Danio rerio: one gene and its partners. The protein of the gene in region 2 interacts with the protein of the main gene of each other region in a biochemical or structural test. Links are inferred from orthologs where the notes say so. Each region holds a gene or a part of one and is shown on either strand. Other genes may lie near its edges.

Region 1 (3,500 bases), on a different chromosome or scaffold from region 2:
AATGGTCCAAAAACAAATGCGTCAGAGGTCACAGTCTAGCTAAGAAAAACGCCTTCATTTTATTCAGAGACACAAACAAAGGCAGAACATTTGGTGCAGTGGCTAATAAGATCAAAAAGTCTGATCAACTGGGTTTCTGCAGGTTTCAAAGTCAAATTTAAAACCTTTTTAAGACCATTATGAATGAACTTTCAGACTTATACAGAGCTAAACACTAAGGGCCCTATCATACACCCGGCGCAGTGTGATGTAAGGCGTGACGCAGTAGTCTTTTAGTAGTTTCAGCTTGGCACAAGAGTCGTTTTGAGGCGTTGCGCTACGCTGTTTAAATAGCAAATGCATTAGCGCTCATTTTTGCGCCCATAGGCGTTCTGGTCTAAAAATGAAGCCGTTCTGAGGTGGACCGCTGGCGCATTGCTACTTTAAGAAACTATAATAGATTTTTTATTAGACCAAAACTAACCCGGTCTAAACTCCGACGCAGAGTTGCGCCTCGCTTACACACTGCTTAATACGCACAAGAGAGCAATAGGCAAATATCTTTACATATGAAAAAATATAAATATTAAGGATATATATAGTATATAATAAGAATAGATATAGGACATAAATATAAAGGATTAAAATATTACAAAACATATTATTTTCTAGCCTACATAAATATGAAAAATCACTGCTTTTATGTCTTCTTCATCTCGGGAGGTTTTTTCAGTTCATTCATAACAATTTGCTTTTGTATAATGTTATTATTATTAGCAGTATTATTTAATATATCCATATTTATATTTGTTTTATTAAAAACAAGCTTAGATTTGCCCACCTGTCAGGTTTTAGACCATATGGGGCACAGCATGTGTTTTAGGATATAACTCAGGTTTTTGAGCACATTTTGTTATTATTATTCATTTATTCATTTGCTGGAAATTAGAACTGAATTTAGAAATAGTTTTGAAACAAATATTTGCGCTTAACAAACAAAAGTATTTATTTATAGACTAATTGATGTCTGTGCGTAAAGGTTTCCCTATCCAAGAGCGAAAGTGAAAGTGATCCATTATCTCTCATTCTCACGCAGTAGATGCTCTGTTTAACAGTTTTCTGTTAAAAAACTGTTAACTGTTTGCTTGTGAAATGCTCATTTTTTCCACTTACACTTACTTTGCGTTCTGTAAATAGTTAATGCGCTCTTGGCGCGACGCAGCTGACTCTTAAAGGGAATGGGAGATGAGACTCTAATTGGTTTATTCCTAAAACACACCTATAACTCATTAGGAAAATAAACTCAACCCTTTTAGACCATGCGTCGAAGCGCAAGGCAGATTTCCCGTCCTTAAATTAGCAAAAAGCGTCCTGACACGCCCTGAAAGCGGCACCGTCCAAAAAATGGACCGTCAAAATAGAGCCCTAAGGATTTTTTTCTTAAGGCTTAGTTTGGGAAACAATATTTTTACCAAACCCAAACTCAAAGTAGCCAGAAGTCATTCATTTTCAGTGAGAACCGGCGGCGAGGATAGTAAAATCAAGTCAACTTTTTGGTATGAGCTATAATGCGGTTCGGTGGCAAGCAATCAGAATGAAGTAGTCCACCGCTTGAGAGGTGTTCAGAGAACACAGACCTGTGAACTTTGGTTCCGACCACAGTTGTTCCCGAGAGTTTGATTATTGCGGTTGCCGGATTTACAATTATTAAAAATCGTGATGACGCAGGGCCCCCTAATCATGCGGGCCTGTCCGCTACGCCACTGACAACATAAATGTAAGGAATTATTATTATTATTAATTCCAGTACTTTTATATACAATTCTTAAGCAGGAAAGAGAAATTTCCACAACATGTGTAAACTCTGATGTTAATAACTGAGGTCTTTTTTATGATCTTATTGAGTTGCGGGTAAACTAAGGACTCCCATGCCCCAATCACTGACCCTTTGAGAGCAGGAAGTCCACAGTCTCCAGGTGTCCCTCACTTGCAGCCACCATCAGTAGAGAGCGACCATGTTTATCACCGCAGTTCACATCTGCACCGCGCTGAAGAAACAACTCTGCAATCTGCAAATACGTAAAAGAGATGAGTGACGTCAATGTAAAATTGGACTTTTTTTTAAACGTGTAATAAAGGGTCATACTTGTGTGTGTCCATGTCGCACTGCATTAAAGATGGGTGCAACCCCTCTGCGGTTTGGCTGTGTTACAATGGCACCTTGATCCAGCAGGAACACACAGCCCTCCTGTTTGCCCCGTCCAGCAGCAGCTGTTAGAGCTGAGGAAGATGTGCATGTTAACGCCTGTCAACATGGGAAGCTGTCACTGCATCCAAATTATATAGTTGGCAAAATACCATGTGACAAACTCAGTAACACTTTTACTTTAAATGGTAACATGTGAATGAGATTTTATGCATGCTTATGACAACTGTCATTACTGTAAGTGTCATTCGCTTAGTTATGTCATTTTAAATGCAAAGGTAAAGAGATGTCTTTGTAACAACAACTTGACATAACCAATACATCATAACCTTTCTTTTTCTTCTTTATGACAACTTGACATTATCGAGACAACATAACTTGTCATAAATCTGTCATAAACATGATTGTCATTAGTGGGGATGCAACAATTAACCGTTTTAAATATTAACCGTGCTTTAATTCATCACGGTTAATTAATCGTTAAGGCTTCTTAACACCGCGTTTCTACATGGAACACAACTGCTGTAACTAAACAAAGCTGTGCCGACTGTGCGCTAGTTTGAAGTTCCGAGCTTGTACACTGAGGCTACATATGTTCTCTTTAAAGGAAAATATTTACATTTACATGATTAAATACTTACAATAGATTTACATTAAACAGACAAAAAGTTTTTATTTATTCTTATTTTTATTTATTTATTATTGTTCAGTCACTTATTTTCAGTGTAAAATTACTTGTGTTTAAATGTCGAAAACTCTTTTTTTTTTTTACTTTACCAAAGAGAAATGGACTATTGTTTGTTTTATTATTATTTTGTGTTGTATTTGTGTTGTATTATTTGGTTACTAAGCTGCAATAATAACACTTTAAAATATAAGGAGTTATCATGGGATTTTTTAAACTACTGTTTTGAAATGAATAAATGGATAATAATGATGATTATGCCTCAGACTATAATCGTACAACCAAAATCTATAATCGCATCCCTAATCATAAGGCTATTATAATTGTCATGAATTTCATAAAAAGCATCACTACTATTTTTTCTTGACCTCAACTACAGTGGTAAAAATGGAAATTTAATGACACTGTTATAAACTTATTTAGCACTTTTACTTAGCAGATTTAATCACAAATTCAGTTTGTCCCTTTGAAAAATGTAAATAGGTTATTATTCATTATACAATTACAATAGCCTCATGACATTCATGTTCATGACAGATTTATGACAAGTTATCCTGTCTTGGTAATATCAAGTTGCCATGACAAACACTCAAAAAATGACTTCTGCTGCTTGTTCAAACTACTTATTTA
Region 2 (3,500 bases):
AAAAATAAAGAAAAAGAAATTCTGTATATTATATATTCCTTAAAAAATAGATGGTTCAACTCAAGTGGTTATCCCAATCAATACATTAAAATGATATAGCATGTATGCATTTGATATTTACATTTTCCAAGATACTTAAAAAATACCATGGTTATACTAGAATAAATTGCAGAAAGCATATTATTCATATGCTATGTTTTCTAAAACATAATAATTCATTAATAATTATTTCTGTGATGTCAGTATTATGTCTAATAAGACAACAAAAGGGTTAAGGAATATAAGTGCTCAATATTATACATTATGTAAACTTATATTGTGCAGTTTTGTCATTCATTCATTCATTCATTCATTCATTCATTCATTCATTTTCCTTCAGCTTAGTCCCTTTATTTATCAGGGTTCGTCAGAATGGAATGGCTAACTTATCCAGTATATGTTTTACACAGCAGATGCCCTTCCAGCTGCAAACTAGTACTGGGAAACACTCAAACACACTTGCATTCACACACGTATGATGAACATTCACTGTTCTCTAGTCTACGGCAAGTAGATTGCAGGTTTGCACAGGAAATTTGCCACTTCTATTAAAAAAAGATGCAGTTCAAGTTAGTGTTGATTTTTCTGTCTCTACAGATTTGGTAAGTGTGTGATCAATGTTCTTTGTTTATGTTTATTCAGATAGCAAAGTAAGTTAGTATCGTCAGCAGTACTCTTTTAGTTTTAAAGACATACCTTAGTCAAAATGATTTAGGCACTATGTTTACAGTAATATCACAACAATATTATAAATTAAAAATCCTCCACTTCCACACAGCTCTCAGATCTTCTGTAAACACTGTTCTCCGAATCACTGTCTATCTCCCCTGCGTCTGTGTTTGTGTTGCCGGTGTAAAAATCAGCTGCTGTGCATGTAATGAAACTCCCTTTTTCATGCAAACCCTTCCCTCTTTTGCCACTCGACACTCCCACCAAAACAAAGATGGACACCCACTTTCCTTTTTTCAAATTAAAGGTGTAAAAACACCCTGCTGGTAAAAAGGGGGGGTTGGTGTTCATGGCCCTTTAACAAAGCATTAAAAATCGTCCTAAAGGACAAAAATAAATATTAAAACAACTTCTGAAACCACTAAAAAAAGTGGACAGGCACTGTGGCGTTCTATATCCCAGCGTGGGATTTTCTCCAATGAGCTTTCACCATTGGCACAGCTGCCCGACTTGACAGAAACTTGAGATTTCACAGAGCAAGTCGAGCCAAAATAAGTTTAGAAAAGTTCTGAGAAACAACAAAAAAAGCCTAGCTACGCTTTCTGCCAGTTTAGGGTCAACAAAACATTAACACATGCCAGCAGAGGCTGTGATAACTGCCCTATCAGCTTTGGAGTGAGATTCGGGCTGTAGTCCAGCTAAAATTGGACCTCAAATCTTACTCTTGTAGTAATAGCTGCTGCTCGGACGGGCATTTAAAATGCAATTTTACTGTTTCTTTCCAACTGGCTGAGGAAGATTGCAGTTGTGCGTTTCAGTTCCCGATTGGTCATCTCTGCCAGCTGGCATGCAAATGTGTATTTGCATGCGCTTGTACAGAGGCATGTGTTCAACAGAAGTGTGTGCTGTGATTGTTTTTGTATGAATGAGCAGTACGTCTGTGTGTGTGTATGTGTGTGTGTGTGTACCGTGTGGCGAGCAGAGGGTAGGTGTGTGTCGGGGTGAGCCAGTGTTCTCTCATGCGTGGCATACTGTCAAACAGCAGCAGATCTTTCTCCGTCAGCATCACGAGCACCGGCTTCCAGCTCTGCCTTTCACTTTCCGTCTGAAACACAAAGACACAAAACCTCAATTAGATACCGTGTAATTACATTTGATCATATTTCTCCTTGTTATTTGATCCTATTTTTCCATTCTCATTTTTAGACACTAAAGGAACAGTTCACCCAAAAAAATTAGTTTCAGACCTTTGAGATTATTTTACTTTATATTTTATATTGGAAAATGGTACCTGTTGACATCCATGATAGGAAAATGAAAACTCTATGGAAGTCAATGTCTACTTGATCATAACTTTAAACAAAAAAAACTATTTTTTACTACTATAAAAAAACATAAATTTGGAACAAGCTAAGGATTATGAGTAAGTTATGACAGTTTTCTTTTTGGGAGTCCTTTCATTTTACATATTTTGTTAATCTGAGAGATATGTAAATAAGCGCAGGTCAAGCAGTAAACCTCTGGGCTGTTTCTCTTTTAGGAAAACTTCATGTAACTAGTCGGAAAGTCAAAGCCAGAGTATAAAAACTATTGAGCCTCTTAAACTGTAACTGATTCATCAGCAAAATGAGCACTGATGTAACATGCTGAAAGCCATTTGCAACTTTTAGATGACCTCAAAGAAACAATGTTACAACATGTTTAAAGCGGTCATGTACTGACTATATAAAATCCCCTTGATCTGCTGACATAAGAGGTCATTGTTCTCTAAAAAACATCCTGTACTTTACCGAACTCAATACTTACTAATCTAAACAGTCCAATTTTATCATGTAATAGTGTGACACTCAATATATATTCAGACAGACACAAAAACATAACAAATGCCATATGTTGTTGTTGTTTTTATTGCAAAGATAGCCTAGATCAGTGGTCACTAACAGGCAGATCAAGGTCCATGTCCAGACCCAGAAGCATCCAATACAGGTGCAGACATACAGCAGGTCTGTTACTTCAGTCCCACTCCTGCTGGGTGTTCTTTCGCACCGATCCCTTCTGCTATTCACACTGTTTACCCACTGTTCCTGCTGAATAAGAAAGAAGAGCCGAACGCTCTCTCTATGCTTAAGTTTCGTTTACTACGATGGTGTCAAGTGAAACAGAGCTCTCTAGAATCATAATAAAGTCATATAGAAGTAAAATATATCATAAATATCATAAAGAAAAATGCACTGTTGCCTTGGTAATACAAGCATAATGTAAACAGAAGTAATCAATACTTTAAAAGTGCTCAATTATTAAGATGTGTAGACATAAATATGTAAAATATGTTATGTGTTGACATAAATATGTAAAATGTAAAATAGAAAAAGTGGAAATTTAAGCCTATTTTCTTAAACAAATTATTAGAACATACATTTTTCAAAATGCCCTACTTTTACTTAATTAACATGAGAATATGCAAATCTACAGTCATATGTGTGGGGCTGTTGCATTGTGAGGTATTTGACACCCAATAAATATGTTTATTGTTCTTTGAATTGTTCTGTAGGCATTTTTTTTTTCTAAGCATAGCACAAACAGTGCCATACCAAAACCTTGACTCTAAAACCATGATACATACTGTACCGTGAGTAAATTGAACTGTTGCACCCAATATATATATATATATATATATATATATATATATATATATATATATATATATATATATATATATATATATATATATATATATATATATATATATATATATATATATATATATATATATATATAATTTTATAATATGT
Region 3 (4,161 bases), on a different chromosome or scaffold from region 2:
AATTAAAAAAAGATTAAATGTTTTTAAAAAGTTTTAACAACTATTATAAACTAAATAGCAGTCGCCTCACAGCAAGAAGGTCGCTGGTTCGAGCATCGGCTGGGTCAGTTGGTGTTTCTGTGTGGAGTTTGCATGCTCTCCCTGCGTTAGTGTGGGTTTCCTCCGGGTGTCTCCATTTTTTTACAAAGTCCAAAGACATGCGGTACAGGTGAATTGGGTAGGCTAAATTGTCTGTGGTGTATGAGTGTGTGAATGTGGATGTTTCTCACAGATGGGTTGGGGGTGGAATGGCATATGCTGGATAAGTTGGCGGTTCGTTCCGCTGTGGCGACCCCAGATTAATAAAGGGACTAAGCCAAAAAAAAAATGAATGAATGAATAAACTAAATATATACAACAATCTGTCCAGGTCGCTTTCCTCAGCAGTAAATAGATAGAGATCTTTTAAACGAATGTTATTGTTAGGAATATAATTAAACCGGTAAATAGAGTTAAAATTATATTCTATAAATAAAAAGTTTTATTGAGATGATTGTTGGTGATTGTATGGGTTTTGGCCAGATTTGGTAGCTATAAATGAACAAAGGAAAATTAAGACCGGTTTAAAAAAAGATTTAAGACCTAAAACACAATATTTCAGTTATTTTAAGACTTTTACGGCATAACATTTAAATTTTGAGATTAAAGACATTTAAAAACCAAGCAGAAACCCTGTTTAAAGCACTTTATCTTAAGTGAAAAGCCAATAAAAACACAATACAGGTGACATATTGAGGTATGGTTGGTTTTGTATTTCCACATTCGTTCAGTGACAACTTATATATTAAACGTACTTGTTTACCACGTTACTTTGAATATTGGGTCTGAATTCGCATGCAAAGTGACATTAAAATCACACTAGCATGGTGTACTTTCCTAGTCATTGGCTGCTAATGTGATTTATTTATAATACTAAATATTGTGTAAATATAATAACTTCATCTAAATACGTCAAGTTTTACTGAAATAACATAGCTGTCAAAGTTTAATTAGCTTAAATAAAACATTACAAACCAAACAACGTGTGACTAAACAAAGTCTGCGTTAATAGTAACGTTAGCTGTAAAACATCTAAGTACTTTTTAAACGCATTAATGAGTGCATGTGTAAACAAAGACGCGTTATTATTATTCAGCTGTTAGTTAGCTAACAAGCTAACTATCGTTTATTTTCATAACACCTCCACTGCTTGCAGAGACGAAAACAGTCCTCGAGTCTGCACGAAGCTCAAGCTAACATGTCAGATAACACCACCCGAATGTATACGAAAGTTGTTAAATTAACTAAACACAACTAAAGGTGTTTGAATGGGTAAAGCTGCTAGCTGATGTTAGCCGAGTGAGAATGACGTCACGGAGAAGTGTCAATCCGTCTCACGTCGAGTTTTACAAATAAAACTCTGAATGTTTACCTCGTGTTAAATGAATCGTCAAGGTCTTCATTCCTGTGGCAGATTAGGATGGAGATGGTGGAGTAAAGCGTCAATTCTGCATGTCTGCGAGTTGAGGTGGATGTTCAGTCCTCTCTCAGCTGGCAGTGTCTCATATGGGTGGATTTGAGCGACACAGGATTTCAAACTTCCCTTACAAGACATGGTGACTACAGCAAAACCACATATTAACTGCTAATATCGGTAACGTTATACTGTAAATACATGATACACTGGTTAATCCTTCACTTTAACCCTTACTTTTTGAACAGACATAAAAAATTACATGTTCAATAAAATTGTTTATTTACTGGAAAAAACAGCTTAAACCAGCCTAGACTTTTGCCACTTCCAGGCTGGTTTCCAGCCATTTCCAGCCTGGTCTTAGCTAGTCAGGCTGGGAGGTGACCAGCTAAAACCAGCTTATCCAGCCAAAACCAGCTATGTCCAACTTAAACCAGGCTGGTCAAGCTGGTTTTAGCTGGTTAAGGCTGGTCATTTTCCAGCCTGACCAACTAAGACCAGGCTGGAAATGGCTGGTAACCAGCCTGAAAGGGGCCAAAACCCCTCTAAAACCAGCCTGGTTGACCAGCTAAAACCAGCCTAACAGCACGTAGGGCTGAAGCTGACACTAGTGGATGCTCTGGAACTCTGGGGCTGAAGTCAACACTATGGGGCACCCTTGGTCTGAAACCAACATCGGGGGGGGGGGGGCTCTGGGCCTGAAGTGGATACTCAGGGGCCCTTTGAGGCTGAAGGCAACACTGGAGGGCACTCTGGGGCTGAAGCCAACACTGGGGGGCACTCTGGAACCAAAGCAGACACTGCATGAACTCTGAGGCTAAAGTCAACACTGGGGGGCACTCTGGAGCTAAAGCCAATAATGAGGGCTCTCTGAGGCTGAAGCCAACAATGAGGGCACTCTGGAGCTGAAGCCAACACTGGGGGCACTCTGGAGCTGAAGCCAACACCCTGGGGCACTCTGGGGCTGAAGCCAACACTGAAAGCACTCTGGAGCTAAAGTCAACACTTTGGGGCACTCTGGGGCTGAAGCCAACACTTAGGGCACTCTGGGACTGATGCCAACATTGAGGGCACTCTGGGGTTGAGGCCGACACTGAGGGCACTCTGATGGCTGAAGTCAACTCTGAGGGCACTCTGGGGCTGAAGCCAACACTAAGGGCACTCTGGGGCTAAAGCCAACACTGGGGAGCACTCTGGGGCTGAAGCCAACACTGAGGGCGCTCTGGGGTTGAAGCAGACACTGGGGAGCACTCTTGGGCTGAAGCCAAAACCGAGGGCACTCTGGAGCTGAGGTCAACACTGTGAGGCACTCTGGGGCTGAAGCCAGCACTAAGAGCACTCTGAGGCTGAAGCAGACACTGGGGGCACTCTGGGTTGAAGCCGACACTGAGGGTACTCAGGGACTGAAGCCAACACTGGTGGCACTCTGGGGCTAAAGCCAACACTGAGGGCACTCTGGGGCTAAAGCCAACACTGAGGGCACTCTGGGGCTGAAGCAGACACTGGGGGCACTCTGGGTTAAAGCCGACACTAAGGGCACTCAGGGACTGAAGCCAACACTGGTGGCACTCTGGGGCTAAAGCCAACACTGAGGGCACTCTGGGGCTAAAGCCAACACTGAGGGCACTCTGGGGCTAAAGCCAACACTGAGGGCACTCTGGGGCTGAAGCAGACACTGGGGGCACTCTGGGTTAAAGCCGACACTAAGGGCACTCAGAGACTGAAGCCAACACTAGTGGCACTCTGGGGCTAAAGCCAACACTGAGGGCACTCTGGGGCTAAAGCCAACACTGAGGGCACTCTGGGGCTAAAGCCAACACTGAGGGCACTCTGGGGCTGAAGCGGACACTGGGGGCACTCTGGGTTAAAGCCGACACTGAGGGCACTCAGGGACTGAAGCCAACACTGGTGGCACTCTGGGGCTAAAGCCAACACTGAGGGCACTCTGGGGCTAAAGCCAACACTGAGGGCACTCTGGGGCTAAAGCCAACACTGAGGGCACTCTGGGGCTGAAGCAGACACTGAGGGCACTCTGGGGCTAAAGCCAACACTGAGGGCACTCTGGGGCTGAAGCAGACACTGGGGGCACTCTGGGTTAAAGCCGATACTGAGGGCACTCAGGGACTGAAGCCAACCTCGGCGGGCACTCTAGGACTGACGTCGACATTGAGGGCACTCTGGGGTTGACGCAGACACTGGGGGGAACTCTTGAGCTGAAGCTGAAACTAGTTGCACTATAGGGCTATAGCCAACAACAGAGGGCCCTTCGGTACTGAAGGGTACACTGGGGGAGCGAGTGGTCACTGCTGACATTCTCAGGAGGCAGGTGCATAGTGAATCTGCCAGTATGTAAGGTGAAAAGCACACTGGCAGAACTCCACCATACATTTGACATCAGGTCAAATGTACCTCAAAATACTTTCATCTCCCACTGTGGTATACACTTGAGCCGAGCACTGCATTAAAGACTGGAGAATTAACAAGACCAAAACAAAAGAGTCCCGACAATCAGACCATCATACATTAAAACAATCACCATTTTCCTGAATCCCACACCTAGTACATCCAGAGAAACCGAGAATTTTCAAGTGGTTGATTTTTTTTGTTTCTCTCATAAAAGAAAACAACCTTCTTCAAATGAAACAACACATTCTTTATGAAAGATCAGT
Region 4 (2,232 bases), on a different chromosome or scaffold from region 2:
GATGAAAAAATAATTCAAAATGTCTAAATCAAGTAAAAGTTTGGAGTGCATAATAGAAATAAGAAAATTAGAAATGGGCCTACTCTTTATATCAATGAGTGTATTACAAGTTATATTATTAAATATTCATGTTCATTTTTAAAGTTTTATTTATGTAATAATTCCAGTCAGCTTTTAGTGAACTTGCAATATTGCCAAAAACACAGAACTTTCAGTTGTTATATGTAAAAAGGCCTTAATGCATGCATTTAGCTCATCTCCAACTATTGACAACAGATCACTCAATGAGAAAGAGGGAGAGATTTGCACTTGCAATATCTCACTGCTCAATTTATTTAACCTAAGTAATGTAATGCCTAGAACATCACTGTGCCTCTTACGATCCGTTCTCTTTCTCGTTTACTCTTGTTGCCATGATTTCCAGGTATTAAAACAAATATTTGGGGACCAAATGAATTTGGGGGAGACTCGCAGAGCTTCCAGGAAAGGGCATAAGGTTGGATAAGACCCTAGATAGGGGCAATCGCTCCCCTCGTGTCATGGCAGCTAAAATACTGGAAATACAATGGCTACACTTGGGGCAAAGAGAGCATCACTCGCGCTAGTCGCCCCAATAAACTGTATAAACAGTTCGCACCGCATCTGTATATATTTTAGCTGTTGTGACGCAAGCGCATCGATCGCTTACCTCCTCATGCATCATTTACCTGTGCTGTGGCTGCTGTAGGCTATGTATAATATACGGGAGGACACATGCATCTTCCTTTGCTTGTAAACTCATAAACGCCTGCGATTGGTTTGGTGAGTACTTAAGTCATGAAATGTGTCGACTGAATGTGTCGAATCGACTGATACCAATCTTCAGGCGATCGATTGAAGCATCCCTACAAATTAGGGTTGTTAAAAGTATCGAGTTCAGTAACAATCGATACTGACATTTTAAAAACTTCAATTTCCCGCTAACATTTGAGTGCATTTGAGCACATTTTTAAACACCGCTGATTGGCCATTGTGTTCAAATAGTCAACAGAAATGACTGATTGGCTGTGACGTTCATCAATTCACCATTCTTCATCAAGTGCAAACACAGACACACGGAAACTAGAGCATTTCAAAGCTGCGTAGATTAGCTGATCTGTCTATCAGATGACATACGAGCGATCTGCTTATGGACCGACTGATCTACATGGCTTCGAACTGCCCCAGTGTCCGTGCGTCTGTGTTTGCACTTGGTGAAGAATGGTGAATTGATGAACTTCACAGCCAATCACAGTTACTTCTGTTAAGCATGTGAACATAATGGCCAATCAGCAGTGTTTAAAAATGTACTCAACTACACTTGAATGTTAGCGGGAAATTAAAGTTTTTCAAATGTCAGTACCGAACTCAATACTTTTAACAACACTACAACAAATTTAAAAGAAATCGGCAATGGGTTTGGTCCTGAACAAACAAGTGAATTAATAATAAACTTTTCTTGTGTGAATATACTCTTGTATGTTGTTTGAACTGTTGAAGTGTAATACTTGCCTGGCCTCTTTTCCATGATCCCCAATGATTCGGTCATCTCTTCCAAGATTTCTTGAGGATATTCGTCCCAGTTCCATAGCCAGCTCTCTGATTAGTCCTTCAAGTCCCGAGTGTTTATATCGCACCCTGTGTCTGGAGTAACCCGCCAGCTGTTCGTCTGCCCCGATGCCAGTCAGAACCACCTGTGAAAACAGGAAGATAACATTTTATACAATGTGACCTAGTCCTTGCACACAGACATAACTGAATACAAACAGAGTATTAATGTTACCTTTGCTTCTGAAATATAAAGTTCTTCATCAACAGCCTCATTTATGACACCAATTCCTCTGGCAGCAAACCAAATAGCACATCCAAGGCTGTCATCCAGAACAGTGTCCAAAGGGTGCACCAAATGACAGATGCGTTTCTGTCGCATTTCCACCAGCTCCTCTTGAGTTACGTTAATTTCGATAAAGTTCCACTGGCGCTTTGGACTGAGATTTTTAAGTTCTTGCAGACCTGCTCTTCCTGTTATTCGGTCAGGCACATTAAACGGATTAAACTTCTGCTGATCCAATTGCGTTTTATCAGCATCATCACAGTCAGTCTTCTTATTTTTACCTTTCTTCATGGACTTGGGAGGCATCTTTGCTTCTTGCATTTTGAAAGCAACATTGAGCAAGTCAATGGGCTTGTCTGCAGGAACGTGCCTATCAGTAA
Region 5 (3,500 bases), on a different chromosome or scaffold from region 2:
CTCATAAATATAGTGTGAATACTTTTGTGATTTTACTCACCTTTCCACACTGTTTGCATTTGCCCTCTTGTCTTCTCCGATGGACCCAGTGGTGTCGCACTATTGCAGGCTGCCATAAAAAACAAGACATAGGATCATACACCCATAAAATATGACATTGTTGTGGGGTTATGCTGTGGGCTATAAAGACTGAATCTGATTTGGTAGCATGAACAAGAGGAGACAGCTGAACAGACACCATGAGAACAGAAAACCTCTGGAGATGCAATTAAAAATACTTAAAGTTGAATGCCATGATGAAGTGCCTATACGAGTAAGTGCAAATGTATGCTTAAATTCTTGAGGGAGAAACACTGCAGACATATTGTTCACATTTAAAATGAGGATTGGTTTTCATGGGGTTCAAATTATTTTGTATTACTAAATAAACTGAAAAGGATGACACTTGTTAGCATGTTAGCCACCTCCAAATTGTGAAGTTTCAGTAGCAACAACTAGGGCTACAAAATACATTTAAGAGTACTCCCCATTTTTTAAATGAATATTTTTCTCCATTTCTCAGTGAATATAGGCAATGCATTTTAGTGCATTTAAACAAAACAGATTTATTAAACAGATATATTTATTTATTAAAATAATATTTTAGTCACCAAAGATATCTAGAAATTGAAAGACATTACAATTGAATTCAAGCAAACTATTGCAAAAAAAATTCAACTCATAATTTCAACTAAATTTTTTAATTTTTTGCTTCTCTTGTTTTTTCCTCTCATTTTAAACTTGTATATAATATTTTTTATAATATAAAATTTGGCTGTACTAGTTTTTGGACCATTATTGTAAGTTATTTTGTTAGATTAGCTCCAGTTTTGGCTTCAGTACCGACTAATCAACTGTAATGTAAATGCACAAATTTAATATTGTATAGCTTCCTATTAAAATATGAATTTAGAAGATACGTTTGTGAAGGGTGTATTTATATATGCAGAGCTCTGTATGCATGATCTGTATCGCAGAAAAGTGTAAAAAAAAATCAATGATCATTACATTTACTAAAAAAAACATAAAAATCGTTTTTAAAAAGAGCATTTCTGTAGGGATATGTAATATTGCAAGACATATTGTTATCGCAATCCTCAACGAAATTGAATATTGCATATTTTTTTCAATAGCGTGCATTCCTAGTGACCACCCTTTAAACAAGGGAGTGAACTACATAAATAATGGTTTTGTTTGATTGTGCAACACAACTTACAACCAAAATGATTAAGTTTAAGTTTATTATTGGCTATTAAATTCTTAACTTGTTCTCTTTAAAGGGCAACTATTTTACGCCTTTTCAAGATGTAAGATAAGCCTTTGGTGTCTCCAGAATGTGTCTGTAAAGTGTCAGCTCAAAATACCCATCAGATCAGTTATTACACACTCCAGAATCTGCCCATTTGGTGTCTGAATACAGTGTAGCTGTTTTTATAATCTGTAGCTTTAAACACAAATGAGCTGCTTCTCCCCGCCCACCGTTCGCACGTACATGTCTGCTTTTCATCAGGCGCTACGTCAGATATACAGCACAGTGACAGACTCGGATAAAGCTAAAATACTGCTCATTAGTCAAAAATACCAAGTATGTTTATTTTATGTGTTTGTCATGGAGTTTATTCAAGCCTTTCTGAAATGACGAGTATCACACAAATGCCGTTTGCAGTACACACACACACACACACACACACACACACACACACACACACACACACACACACACACACACACACACACTAGCGTTTACAGACACCATGTGGCTGTGATGATTATAATGGTTAAGAATTAGATATCGATTTTACTGTCTTTATTACACACATGCCGGTTTAGAAAAAAAATGGTAAACTTATAAAAAATCACAGAAATATGATTGTAGACACTATACATACAGACAGTTCTTTCCAAACAGCTTACAAAAGTTGATTTTCATCATAGGTGCCTTTAAATTTCTTACTCTATACACAAAGAACAGAGACTTTTAAATGTATTAAAATGTCATGAACAAACACTTGTTCAGTTGAGCCGTGTGCACACAGTCAAATGTTTGTAAATGCTCACTGTTGCAAAATTTGGGAGTTAATTTGTTGACTGATCAATAAAATGTGAACTGTTGACCAAATTTAGCTGCAGTGTGTATTGCATAACATAATAAAGAATTAATAAAAAAAAGAGCAATTAAATGGCAGTATAGGATTTTAATAAAACTCTGCTATATTTGCTGAAAAACCCTTTTTATTTGTTTTACTTTTAAAATTAGTAAAATTTTGTGAAGTTTCTAAAATATACAGTATTCGTTTATTCTTGTGAGTGCATTTGTGAGTCACCATCTATTTTTATAATGACAAAAACAATTTTTACTTAATCTTATTGTGATAACTGTAATAAAAAAAATGGAAAATTATATAAGTCTTCATTTAGATAACCAAGTAAAAGTGTCATCATACAGTAGCTGCGTAAATGTGTGTGATACCTGTGTGTTAGAGGTGTGCGCAGTACATTTAGCTGCAGCACCTCTCATTTGCTCCAAAGCACAGCGACCTCTGAAAGCTCTGCGTCGCCAGGTTTGCTAACCCAACAAAGCAAGATGGGAACAGGAAGAGACAGGGCATACCGAGGAGCAGAAGTGCAATGGAGAGATAGGGATGAAGAGATGAGGGATGGATTACGGCAGTGAGAGCGACATAAGGGATGTGGAAAAGGAAAACAAAGGGTAAAACGGGGTGAAATCAAGATTTAAACAGCAAACAGCAGCAGCCCATGCAGTGTGTGTGTGTGAGTGTGTGTGTGTGTGTGTGTGTGTGTGTGTGTGTGTGTGTGTGTGTGTGTGTGTGTGTGTGTGTGTGTGTGTGTGTGTGTGTGTGTGTGTGTGTGTAAAACATCTGGGGTCATTCCGACAAATAAAGAGCTAAAATTAAACTCACAAATAACTAAAATCTAAATCTTAAAGTGTTGTTCAGTTGAAGTCAGAATTTTTTTTTTTTTTTAATATTTCCCAAATGATGTTTAACAGAGCAAGGAAATTTTCACAGTATGTCTAATAATATTTTTTCTTCTGCAGAAAGTCTTATTTGTTTTATTTTGGCTAGAATAAAAGCAGTTTCTAATTTTTTAAAACCCATTTTAGGGTCAAAATGATTAGCCCCTTTAAGCTATTTTCTTTCGATAGTCTACAGAACAAACCATCATTATACAATAACTTGCATAATTAACCTAACCTGCCTAGTTAACTTATTTAACCAAGTTAACCTAGACCTTTAAATGTCACTTTAAGCTTTATTGTAGTGTATTGAAAATTATCTGGTCAAATATTATTTACTGTCATCTTGGAAAAGAAAAATTAAATCAGCAATTTAAAATGAGCTATTAAAACTATGGTAACACTTGATTTTGATGGTCCATTTGAGTATTTGTAGACGGTCTAATTAATATCTGTTGATACTGCTGCTAAACAGACATTTAAC
Region 6 (3,500 bases), on a different chromosome or scaffold from region 2:
TATTTTAGGGCTGCACTGTAATCCTTAAATAGAATATTTTACCATCAACCTTCCATGCTTGGCCCTTACATAATTACAGTTTTCTAGAGCACTCTACCCTAAGTTTAGAAGCACCCTCAAAAACTGATTTCTTTCTGGAACCGGGCATGCATGCTGCATATAAATAGTGCAAAATCCTCAAGGCGGGGATACCTTGACAAGCTTAGCATCCTGATGTTGTAGCTGGCTGTTGGGAAGTTTGTCTCTCTGAACGATCCATGGATGTTTCAGCACCTGCCTGGCTGTGAGCCGCTGGTGAGGGTCCACATGGAGCATCTTTGAGACCAAATCCTGTAGAGAAAAGCATGTGTGTGAGAAAACACCTCCCTTCAAAGCAGTCTGGATGAATGGGGATTGGCCTACTTTGGCAGCATCAGACACTGCGTCCCAGTTGCCACCCGTCAGAGTAAAGCGTCCACTCCCTATCCGGCTCAGGATCTCTTCTGGAGTGTCTTCTGGTCCATTGGCAAATGGCGTAAACCTGGAACAAGTAACAACCGAAAAGAAAGTGGTTGTGGATGTGTTGCAAAGATATTTACAAAAATGGAAGTGAATGAGCATCTTCTCACCCAGCAATCATAGTGTATAGTAATACGCCGAGACTCCAAATGTCACAGCCTTCATCATAGCCCTGTCTCTTCAGTACCTGCAAAAGGACAACAGTTGTTACTGAAAAAATTAAAAATCCACATCACACTGATCCCACAGAATCTGAAGTCATTTAGCCAGTAATAATTTCCAATACAGAAGCCAAGATAGTTGTAAAATCTTAACCCTTGTGCACTGTTCAAATTGACTACCCTTTTTGTTGTTAGGGATAAACACATCAACTGAATTAAACTGCTGTAAAATGCATCAGATAAATATGTTTAAAATTTTTTTTTTTTGCATAAAACCTGTTAATCAACTTCAGTCCTGATCAGGACTACTAAATTGTTTTTAAATTTAGATTTTTACCACTAAATTTCCAAATTGATAAATGATGTCACTGATTTGGTGAAAAACCACACAAAATGACATATTTTTAATATAAAAAGTAATTGTGAACTGCATTTTTTAAACCTTTTATTACAGTCTTTGACAAGTGAACGATTAGTAACACATTTGGGTTTGATGCATTGGTAGATTTAAATTTTTTTCTCCCTAATTTACTGTTGGTGGCTGTTGTTGCCCCATTGACTTCCATTATAACCACATTTGAAGGTTTATAAATACACAGTCTTTGTTTTTGTTTACTCCATGTAGTTCTGAGAGCCGAGATGCATATTTTTATTTTCTTGGACACATCAAGGTAAGTGCGTAAAGGTCACTCTCTCACACATGCACGTACACATACAATTTTTTTATTTGCTGTTATACTCCATTTAAACTCCAGGAACTACGTTTCTTTGCAGGCCTATCTAAAGTGTTAATTGTATTAACAGATGGCCAACGGTAAAAATGACAAATTTGATCTCGTCCCAACATGAGAAGCCACCAACAATAAAAAATGCATGATTATGAGGGTGTCATAGTTTTGTAATAAAAATGGTTATAACAGAAGTCAATGGAGCAAAACAGCCACCAACAGTAAATTAGGGAGAAAAAATGAAAATCAATCAAATACAAATGCATCAAAGGCAATGTTGTTTCACATTTCCAAGACTGTGATAAAAGGTTTAAAAAAGGTTAAGATAGGTAAAAAAAATCTAGAGAACAATTACTTTTTATATACATCATTTTTATATAATTTATATAATACGTCATTTTGTGTGCTTTTCACCAAACCAGTGACATCATTTATCAATTTGGCAATTAGAGAGTTAAAATCCTGTAATTTTCTAAGCAATTTAGTAGTTTTAATCAGGACTGAGGTTGATTAACAGATTTATGCAAAAACAAAACAAAAGGGTAGTCTATTTGCCCAGAGTGTATGTTGCGTTTTTTTTAATTTGTTGTTTTTTTTTTTATTCATAGCATTTTCTCAAAATATGTGTCAAAATAAGACTTCTCAACAAGTTTTTAGTGGAATCCCTCTATACAGCATTCCCTGCTCCATTGTGAGAACAACTGCTCACCTCAGGTGCTACGAAATTGGCAGTATAGCAAGGCGTCATGAGGAGGCCATTATCAGCACGAAGCTGCTTGGCAAAGCCAAAATCACAAATGCGCAGAGATTCAGGATTTCCAGACTCATCAACATACAGAATATTACTGGGCTTCAGGTCCCTGTGCACAACCTGCAGGACAAAAGAACTTACATTGAACTACAATGAATTCACAAACAACTGCAAACCTACCTGCCATTTTAAAAATTCAAGAGGCATTAATGCACAGTAAAAAAAAAACTAAGAATTAAATTTAGAGTTACATGTTATTGAATAAATATGTCTCTAATGGGTAAATTACTACATATATATTACCACATGATCACAAATAAAGGATAGCTTAAGGTAGTCAAAGTTTTTATTTTTTTTATAAGTTATTCATTAGCCCCTTTCACACAGAAATACCGGTAAATATCTGGAAAATTACTAAATAAAGTTTACCGGTAAATTCTAAATGTGAATGCGCTTTTTCCTGCAAATCCAACAAATTTACCGCTATTTTCAAAAAAGGCCTGTTCACACATGATCCCTTTCCAGAAAACTGCTGGTTATTTTCCAGAAAAGTCTACATCTGTGAAAGTAGCTAATGTCTTCTCTTTTTGGGAACATGTTTAAATCAAAAGTCCATCTGTCTAACAATCATAAGAAATCCAATAAAACATGTTTAGTGTTGCAAAAGCCCCAGTCACTTTTTACTATAATATTGGGCTAAGATTTCAAGTAAGAGTGTTTTAATTGAATTGAATTGAGTCAACTTTTCGTTTTTCAAACACGGCTATAATGCACTCTATAAAAAGCTACAGGATGATATTTGCCCTAAGAACTCTATCTCTCGTGGTTCTTCTGGGAAAAAAACATCAACACACAATTTATTGAATCACATTAAACGTTGTAAATAGCGGAGAGGGAACAGAGAGGAGTGGAATAGAAGAGGGCACACGGTAGAGCCTTGGGGATCACCCTCAGAAAGAAAAGGAAAAGCAAAGCTGTGAATCATACTAACAAATTCTGTGCTTGTGTCAAGTTAATCTCCAAGATAAATGTGAGTGCATTTGTTCATGCAGGTTTTCTCACCCCTTGAGAGTGCAGGTATTCCACAGTCTTTGTGATAGTGTGCAGCACAGCACTAGCCTCTCTCTCAGAGAAAAACTTCTGCTTGAGGATCCTGTCCAGCAGCTCACCTCCTCGCATCAACTCAGTGACCAGATAGACCTGCTTCCCATTATCATACACCTACAGCACAATGGGTTTTTGTGTTTAATATAGAGTTGTAACCCAGTAACTCTCTGTATTGTGAAATTTGTCAAATTAAAATAATGCAGAATAAATTTTTTTCCAGAAAATAAAATATATTCTGTTGACTTACATCTTTGA

Evidence for each region.
Region 1: the proteins of sntb1 (region 2) and tanc1a interact in a test that uses a peptide from one of them, tested with the Homo sapiens proteins (2 studies listed by IntAct, with this or other methods). The link is inferred for Danio rerio from reciprocal best matches to the Homo sapiens genes SNTB1 and TANC1.
Region 3: the proteins of sntb1 (region 2) and cysltr2b interact in a test that uses a peptide from one of them, tested with the Homo sapiens proteins (2 studies listed by IntAct, with this or other methods). The link is inferred for Danio rerio from reciprocal best matches to the Homo sapiens genes SNTB1 and CYSLTR2.
Region 4: the proteins of sntb1 (region 2) and asnsd1 interact in a test that uses a peptide from one of them, tested with the Homo sapiens proteins (2 studies listed by IntAct, with this or other methods). The link is inferred for Danio rerio from reciprocal best matches to the Homo sapiens genes SNTB1 and ASNSD1.
Region 5: the proteins of sntb1 (region 2) and dgkza form a complex in vitro, tested with the Homo sapiens proteins (2 studies listed by BioGRID and IntAct, with this or other methods). The link is inferred for Danio rerio from reciprocal best matches to the Homo sapiens genes SNTB1 and DGKZ.
Region 6: the proteins of sntb1 (region 2) and rps6ka1 interact in a test that uses a peptide from one of them, tested with the Homo sapiens proteins (2 studies listed by BioGRID and IntAct, with this or other methods). The link is inferred for Danio rerio from reciprocal best matches to the Homo sapiens genes SNTB1 and RPS6KA1.

Annotation. Positions count from the first base shown.
Region 1 is NC_133181.1:13,014,316-13,017,815, forward strand, and holds part of tanc1a (protein TANC1), read right to left. Parts: intron 2,260-3,500; coding exon 2,126-2,259; intron 2,049-2,125; coding exon 1,925-2,048; intron 1-1,924. UniProt on the Homo sapiens protein: May be a scaffold component in the postsynaptic density.
Region 2 is NC_133191.1:15,526,546-15,530,045, forward strand, and holds part of sntb1 (beta-1-syntrophin), read right to left. Parts: intron 1,814-3,500; coding exon 1,677-1,813; intron 1-1,676. UniProt on the Homo sapiens protein: Adapter protein that binds to and probably organizes the subcellular localization of a variety of membrane proteins. May link various receptors to the actin cytoskeleton and the dystrophin glycoprotein complex.
Region 3 is NC_133190.1:3,203,655-3,207,815, reverse strand, and holds the start of cysltr2b (cysteinyl leukotriene receptor 2), read left to right. Parts: upstream 1-1,361; 5' UTR 1,362-1,634; intron 1,635-4,161. UniProt on the Homo sapiens protein: Receptor for cysteinyl leukotrienes. The response is mediated via a G-protein that activates a phosphatidylinositol-calcium second messenger system.
Region 4 is NC_133184.1:42,813,948-42,816,179, forward strand, and holds part of asnsd1 (asparagine synthetase domain-containing protein 1), read right to left. Parts: coding exon 1,802-2,232; intron 1,713-1,801; coding exon 1,531-1,712; intron 1-1,530.
Region 5 is NC_133182.1:39,301,639-39,305,138, reverse strand, and holds part of dgkza (diacylglycerol kinase zeta), read right to left. Parts: intron 2,606-3,500; coding exon 2,510-2,605; intron 110-2,509; coding exon 41-109; intron 1-40. UniProt on the Homo sapiens protein: Diacylglycerol kinase that converts diacylglycerol/DAG into phosphatidic acid/phosphatidate/PA and regulates the respective levels of these two bioactive lipids.
Region 6 is NC_133192.1:28,642,653-28,646,152, reverse strand, and holds part of rps6ka1 (ribosomal protein S6 kinase alpha-1), read right to left. Parts: coding exon 3,493-3,500; intron 3,360-3,492; coding exon 3,201-3,359; intron 2,259-3,200; coding exon 2,097-2,258; intron 686-2,096; coding exon 609-685; intron 521-608; coding exon 403-520; intron 331-402; coding exon 193-330; intron 1-192. UniProt on the Homo sapiens protein: Serine/threonine-protein kinase that acts downstream of ERK (MAPK1/ERK2 and MAPK3/ERK1) signaling and mediates mitogenic and stress-induced activation of the transcription factors CREB1, ETV1/ER81 and NR4A1/NUR77, regulates translation through RPS6 and EIF4B phosphorylation, and mediates cellular proliferation, survival, and differentiation by modulating mTOR signaling and repressing pro-apoptotic function of BAD and DAPK1.